Coturnix japonica: one gene and its partner. The protein of the gene in region 2 purifies or fractionates together with the protein of the main gene of each other region. This does not show direct contact. Links are inferred from orthologs where the notes say so. Each region holds a gene or a part of one and is shown on either strand. Other genes may lie near its edges.

Region 1 (4,235 bases), on a different chromosome or scaffold from region 2:
AAGTTCTCCCACCATGGGCTAGGCTAAGCTACCCCAGCTTTGAACTGGTCATGGATGTTTTGCTCAAGTTGCTGCACCACCTTCACCAGGAGCACACAAAGTTTTCATGCAGCCTCTGTGTGCATACACCCTATTTCCTGCCGCCTCCAATTTTACCTTGATAACCCAGTTTCTTGCCTTCCGTAACCCCTCTCTCTCCTCCAGAGCCCCTCAGGCCCTTTTTAACTTGTGAACAAGGACATCCCCCTAGTCCCAGACCTCCAGGGACGTTCCGATGACAAAGAGCAGGTCTGCCATGGGGAAGTCTGTCAAGTGCAGGAAGAAGCGCTGCGGAAGCTCCTCGCCAAAGAACACAATGTCAGGCTTGACAATTCCAGTGCAGACACGGCAGTGAGGGACCTTGTCTGCCATAACGTCTCCCTGAAGTAAAAGCACCCAATGCCAGTTGATATGGGGCAGCACATATATACACAAACAAGGTCACAACCATGTTGGACCCTCACAGTAACATCACTTCATGTCAATGTCCAGCTGCATTCACTCACCCTGAAGTCCTCTCCTGGGAACTTCCTCCGACAGACTGTGCACGTGGCAGTAGCAAAGGTGCCGTGGGCTTCCACCAGTCTATCAGGAGGGATCCCAGCAGCTGGAACACAGCAGGTGGGAGAGGATCAGCTCAGCATGAGGCGACTGAACCAGAAACTCCATCTTCAACAGGCATATTCCCAGTCCTCCTGTTCTGCTTCTCATTATCAGCTTTTTCTGAGAGCTGGAGAAAACTCACCTCGCTCCAGCCCATCAATATTCTGAGTATAGAGACGTAGAAGGAGCCCTTTGTCATGCAAGAGTCTCAGGAAATAGTGGGCGTAGTTGGGTCTATAATTGCCAGGGTAGAGCTCCTTGGCCAAAGTGAAAAATGGCTTGGGGTTGACGAAGAAATAGGCCAGTTCAAAGATGGCTTCGGGATAAGGGATGTTGTACTGCTCAAGGTTACTATAGAGGCCGCTCCCCGGGGACCTGCAGAGAGAAAAGGAAGGTGGGCAGTCAGAACACAGGGGGAAAGCGACCCACCAAGCCAGGACACAAAAGAGCAGAGAGCCACGTTCTTGGCTTAGGCTGAAGAACCTGATAGTCCCAACACTAATCAAAGATAAATAAAACAATGAAGGCAGTACCTGAAGTCTGGGATGCCGCTGGGGGTGCTAATCCCAGCACCAGCCATCACCACTACTCGACGACACTCTTTCTTCTGAATGAGCTCCGCCACATCCTGCAGGGTGAGCTTCTGCTTCCCACTGTCACCTCCCCAGCTGCCCAGTCCTAGAACAGCACTGGTGGCAGCAGACAGAGAGAAGGGCTTGGTCCCTTGTACCCTGCTTAGAACAGAGGGAAAGCACAGTCGGTTGTGTGGGGAAAGAGACTTCAGCTGAGAGAAAGCTCAACTAGGAGAAAGTTCAAGCATTAAGTCTACTCCAGAACACTGAACTGATTTTAGATCTTAATAATACCAAATCAATGTTAAAACACACCAAATTTCCCTATAAGAAAGGGAAATGCCCTGTCTATGCCCTGGGTCTCAGGAAACTTCTAACAGGGTGCTGTGGTCACTCTGGAGCAGCACTGCTTGGATTAGGACAGACATTTCACCAGTTCTCTATCTCACCCCAGGGACTCTGCCTTGGGAGAGCTCTGTGTGCAGCTGGAAAGCAAAGGAACTGCAGGTCAGCAGTGCATACAGATGGGGCTGAGAACACCCATTATCATCCCAAGGAACACTTTCTCCCCAGACAATGAGTGCTTGCAGCAGCAGGATATTGAAAGCAGTCCAGGGAAGGTGTGAGAATGTGAAGAGCCAAGAGCTGCTGGATCCTGGCAATCTGCAAACAGCAATTACTGTGTCCTAACGTGCTCAGCGTGGCTGACACTGGTACCACAAGGACGTGGTTTGGGCTGTGCCAGGTCAGATTCCCACAGAGCTCATTTCACAAGCTGGCAAACGTTAACATTTCTCTGTCCTTTGTTTCTCAGCTCCCAGCTCAGGCTCAAAGACACACAGGACTTCAGACAGGAGAGGTGCCGCTCTCCACACCAGCTCTGCATGAAACCATCCAGCCCTACCTGCATAGCCCACAGCCAGTCCTGCACTGCGGGTAGAACCGAGCCAGGCCACCACGCTCCCACAGGCTCCTCCATGCTGCAAGAAAACACAGAGTCAGCAAACAGCGAGGGATCTGTTCTCCCCTCAGCTTCCTCTAAGGGTCTACTTCCCTACCTCAGGCTCCCCCTGGGGCCTGCTTCCTTACCCCCGTTCCTCCCCATCCCCTCAGGCCCCGTTCCATCCCCTCAGGCCTCGTTCCATCCCCTCAGGCCTCGTTCCATCCCCTCAGGCCTCGTTCCATCCCCTCAGGCCTCGTTCCATCCCCTCAGGCCCCGTTCCTTCCCCACAGGCCCCGTTCCTTCTCCTCAGGCCTCGTTCCNAGGCCCCGTTCCTTCCCCACAGGCCCCGTTCCTTCTCCTCAGGCCTCGTTCCTTCCCCTCAGGCCTCGTTCCTTCCCCTCAGGCCCCGTTCCTTCTCCTCAGGCCTCGTTCCTTTCCCTCAGGCCTCGTTCCATCCCCTCAGGCCCCGTTCCTTCCCCTCAGGCTTCCTCCAGCACCCATCATGGCCCACTCCCCCCATCAAGGCCCACTGCCCCCCCTCAGCTCCTCACCCGCCACCACCCGCCGCACAGCACCGATCCCCCCGCCCCAAGGTCCCGTTGCCATAATTACGAGGGGGAGTGTGTGGGGGGGGAGGGGCCGGGCAACGCTAGGCCTTCCGGTACCCATCGTACCCCGCGGCACGCCGGAAGTGAGTGTGCATATCCGGCGGGGGCGGCCCGGTGCTCGGCGTTGCTGCCTGCTGCGGTCGCCGCCGCCATGAAGGACGTGCCGGGCTTCCTGCAGCAGAGCCAGAGCGCGGGGCCGGGGCAGGCCGCGGTGTGGCACCGCCTGGAGGAGCTCTACAATAAGAAGTGAGACATGGGGGGGGCTACGTCGGGGTCCAACCCGGGGTGATGGGCTGCAGGAGGGACTGGGGCTGTGTGGAGAGAGGGGGACTCGGCCTGCGCTGTGGTAAAGGAAGAATGGAGGTGAATGTGTGCACCGCGTGAGGAGCTGCTGCAGTCACTGCACATGGGGGTGTTGGAGAACCGTGGGGATGGGATGTGGCCATTGGGAGTGATGAGGGTGGGTTGGAGCTGGACCTGACCTCAGGTGTCTGTTCTAATCTTCATAGTCCTGTGGTTCTGTGTTTTGAAGGCTCTGGCACCAGCTGACACTGCAAGTGTTGGACTTTGTGCAGGACCCGTGCTTTGCACAAGGAGATGGACTCATCAAGGTGAGGTGCTCTGCCGTCTCTGAGCAACAGACGGGAGGTGTAGTGTGTTTTTTCTTTCCCTTTTGTAACAAGATGGCTTATTGTTGGAAGTACAGGATGGGCTGAATGCAGTATATATAGTTACAAAGCAGAGATGGTAGTTCATATATGCTCTGTCAAGGTCTTCATGAAGATAGGGGCTTACCATATCCTCCTTCATTCCCCACTTTCCCTTTGTGTCTGTTTTAAAGCTCAGTATCCCCTGAGGTAAGGGCTTCCCTAATGAAGAGCCACTAGTTTTTAGTTGTGGGATGTGTATGAGGGACTTGGAGAATGTCTTGAGTTCAGGCCTATGCCATTTGTACATTGCTAATGGAAAGCAAACACTGGGCAGGGCTGCAGAGAGGCATTGTGTTTCAGTATCTATTAGCTCATAAGGTTTGTGAATCAAACAAAACATCTGTTTTCCCTAACTGTTGATATCTCTGTACCCACAGCTTTATGAGAACTTCATCAGCGAGTTTGAACACAGGTGAGTTTATTTGCCTGGAAGTTTGTAGACAACCTATTGCTGACAAGTACCGCTCTGACAGCAAGTTCTTCATTCTAGGGTGAATCCCCTGTCCCTGGTAGAGATCATTCTTCATGTAGTCAGGCAGATGACAGGTAAGTGACCTTACCCTTTGCTTACACTGTCTTTAAGGAGTGATGCCCATGAAACTAGGTAGTAGTAACAGCTAAGTCTTCAATGCTGAGCTATTGTCTTGCTTGTGTATGAAAGAAGGAAAGCACCAATGCTAAGTGTTTGAGTAATTAGTGCTGTGTTAGAGCAGCAGTACCGTTGCTCAAATGAGAAGTCAGCTAATGAGCAGAAAGCCTG
Region 2 (3,258 bases):
AGAAGCTCCTCCCTTCTCCTTCCAGACAGTGGCAATAAACTAACTGTAGAGGAATTTGTTGGTTCTGGTACTTCATCTTTCATTAGGTTTCAACATATATTTCAATAACCAGCTTTGAATCCCAGTATCATGCTATGATTCTGAAGCACGTATTAAAAGCATGTATTAACGGAGAGTAACAAGCACATCAACAACACTAGAACTGAGGTAGTAAAACTAAACACAGCTGTAAGGTAGAAGTAACTAAATTATCCAGTCTATTCTTAACCTTCAGAACAATTACATTCATCCTAATTCAAGTCATAAGAAAGCAAGTATATTTGGCTTTTTCCTCCAGAACTATTTTGGACATTTCTCCTATAAGAACCCAAATCCTGCAAGGAAACCCTGCCGCTTATAGCCACCTGTTACTCCAAGCTGGCCAGAGCTGTATGACACAGCAAGTGCCACCATATTTGCTCTTGTACTTGTTCAAGCATTGGTTACTGTTACCCTTTTGGAAGAACAAGAAACAGCTTGCAACACAGCAAATTGAAACCAGGGACCTAAAACTAAACTATTAATCTCCCTAAATAACACTGGTGTTTCTTAAAGGAAGAAGCCAATTAAAAAGTCATTACTTACAGCACCACCTGTAGCAATTGCCATATCCTTGAGCTGGTTTTTCCTGTTGTCACCAAAACCTGGTGCTTTTACAGCAACAACTTGGAGACCAACCTTGAGCCTGAAGAACATAATTGAGAGCAGTACTGCCAATGTGTTCACAGAACAAACCTCATTGCTATGAACTATTTTGGAACAAATCTAACAGTCAAGCAAACAAGATCTTTATACACTGAGCTGCTGTTGATCAAACAAGTAGCTGAAGAAACCATTGAAATTCAGCCCAAGCAATATCAGCCATGGCAGTGTGTAAGAGTTGTTGCTTCTTAGTACTGGGAAAATTCAAATACATGCTTTCCTATGTATTCCTTCAGAAGTATGAAAATGCAGGAGGGAAAAAAAGAGCAGTATTTGCTGTTCCAAAGCTGTCAAAGTATGAATTTTAAACCTTACCTGTTCAAGACCAGAGTGCTGAGGGCTTCTCCATCAACATCTTCAGCAATAATGACCAAAGGTTTGCGGTGACTGTTGGCAATTTCAAGAGCCGGAACTATGGACTGTACACTGGAAATCTTCTTTTCACTGATTAAAACGTAAGCATCCTGGAATTCACATTTCTGCCCTGCAGAAGCAATATGCATTGTCTGAGCAATCTCGTTATGAAAGCATATCCAGCCTTCCCTAAAGCTTACTGTGCAGCCTGAGAACTACTGTTGTATCTTTTAACTTCACAACAAACAAAAGACCCCTACAAATAATGACAACCACACATCCAAAAACCCCACAAAACCCCCAGTGCTGTCCTCTAAGACTTCCAGTTCTGTTATCTGCAATGCTGCGGGGCCGGCTGAATGGTGGCACAGACACTGTTCACACTTAGCAGAGAAGTATAAAAAGTATAAACAGCTTTCAAGCTTTTGCCATGTTTCTGACAGGGGAAGGACCCCAACATCCTATTGTCATGCTAAGCAGCATAACAGCCTGTTTTAAGACACACCATTTTAACATCAGTGGAGCCATTAAGGTACCTGACACACAGTTCTGTTAACTCACCTTTGGCTGTGTTAATAAAATACGGAGATATGTAGCCTCGATCAAACTTCATACCTTCAATGATTTCTAATTCATCATTCAGAGTTTTTCCATCCTGTTTAGATACAGAAAGTCTTATCAGAGATCTGGTCACAACATTACCACAGCACAAAAACTGCACCACATCTGCTTCATGTGCTCTATCTCAAAGGAAAACAATTTTAATTAAGACTGATGCAACCCTAATCTAAAAGAGATGGGAACAGAAGAGTTGTGGAGGGTACTACTGTATGTGAGCAGCTCCATCACATGCCACAAATGCCAACCTTAACTTGGAAATGCGGATAAATTGCTCTTGGTCCATATGCTGACAGCTCTCACCTTAACAGTGATTACACCTTTCCTTCCAACCTTTTTCATGGCATCAGAAATTATATTGCCGATTTCCTGATCTCCATTCGCTGATATCGTGGCAACCTGAAAAAGCAAAATGCTTCAACTCATTTCACAGTACTCATCATTTGTTTCCTTACTATAAACGAATGAAACCACAGCACAGAACAACGAACAGTAGCACATCCACACCAGAACAATACAATGGATACAATGGCTTGTGGCTTCGCGGCAGCCTGAGCTCTGGGCTATACCCCACACGCTGGGTTCATGCAGCACACACATCTGAATCTGCAGCCACAAGAGGAAATGAGCCTCAAAGCCCAACACGCCCACAGCAGGACAAACAGCAGAGCATCAGGCTCAACCTGAACCTCCCACAGCTGATGTGTTACAAATGCTCCCGCAAGTCTGCCATCACCAAACCCACCAATAGCCATTTTTGCTTCCAAATAATCACATTAATGTTTTACAGTTACTTTGTGAAAACAATCCTGATTAAAACAAACTGCCTAGTTCTGAACCAACATTTACCTGAAGACAGAACACTGGGCATCTCAAACAACTCATTCTATGGGTTACCATGGACATCATTCTATGCGATACATTCCAAACCCCAACACATAAAGACAAATACTCAGCTGTTCTGTATCCAAACCTGAGTTCAGAAAACTTTCTGAAGTCAAATTATGTGTTTGTTGTTTTTTTGTTCGTTTGTTTTTACCTGTGCAATTTCTTCTGGAGTTGTAACTGGTTTAGACAGCTTCTTCAGTTCAGCTGTGATGGCATCAACTGCGAGCATCACCCCTAGAGACGAGTGGAATACTTGTCAGTGAACAACACAAGGCATATAGCACAGAAAAAACCCATTTGATTCTACAACAAAAGGCAACTCATTGAGGAAACCAGACAGATTTAGCATGTGCAAAGGGAAAAAGCTAGCAATTAAATATTGAAAACATAGGTGAAAGAATTACCCCTCCTGATTTCCACTGGATTAGCTCCTTTGCTGATCTTCTCAAAGCCTTCTTTGGCAATAGCCCGTGCAAGTACCGTTGCAGTAGTAGTACCATCTCCCGCCTCTTCATTTGTATTATTGGCAACATCTTGAACTAATTTGGCTCCGATATTTTTGTATTTGTCCTTTAAGTCGATTGCCTTTGCCACTGTCACGCCATCCTTTGTCACTTTGGGACTCCCCCAGCTTTGCTCAATAATGACTGTTCTTCC

What was found. The genes of interacting proteins can lie anywhere in the genome.
Region 1: the proteins of HSPD1 (region 2) and SIRT3 purify together in Homo sapiens (affinity purification with mass spectrometry; 3 studies listed by BioGRID and IntAct, counting the BioPlex papers as one, with this or other methods). This does not show direct contact. The link is inferred for Coturnix japonica from reciprocal best matches to the Homo sapiens genes HSPD1 and SIRT3.

What each region holds. Positions count from the first base shown.
Region 1 is NC_029520.1:1,387,341-1,391,575, reverse strand, and holds the start of SIRT3 (NAD-dependent protein deacetylase sirtuin-3, mitochondrial), read right to left. Parts: upstream 2,813-4,235; 5' UTR 2,764-2,812; coding exon 2,709-2,763; intron 2,314-2,708; exon of another isoform or gene 2,195-2,313; coding exon 2,119-2,194; intron 1,377-2,118; coding exon 1,176-1,376; intron 1,018-1,175; coding exon 785-1,017; intron 647-784; coding exon 546-646; intron 421-545; coding exon 259-420; exon of another isoform or gene 157-258; intron 1-156. Other genes in the region: PSMD13 (26S proteasome non-ATPase regulatory subunit 13), read left to right, coding at 2,917-3,011, 3,298-3,376, 3,853-3,887, 3,966-4,021.
Region 2 is NC_029522.1:11,063-14,320, reverse strand, and holds part of HSPD1 (60 kDa heat shock protein, mitochondrial), read right to left. Parts: coding exon 3,006-3,258; intron 2,836-3,005; coding exon 2,753-2,835; intron 2,113-2,752; coding exon 2,017-2,112; intron 1,751-2,016; coding exon 1,657-1,750; intron 1,226-1,656; coding exon 1,057-1,225; intron 725-1,056; coding exon 625-724; intron 1-624. UniProt on the Homo sapiens protein: Chaperonin implicated in mitochondrial protein import and macromolecular assembly. Together with Hsp10, facilitates the correct folding of imported proteins.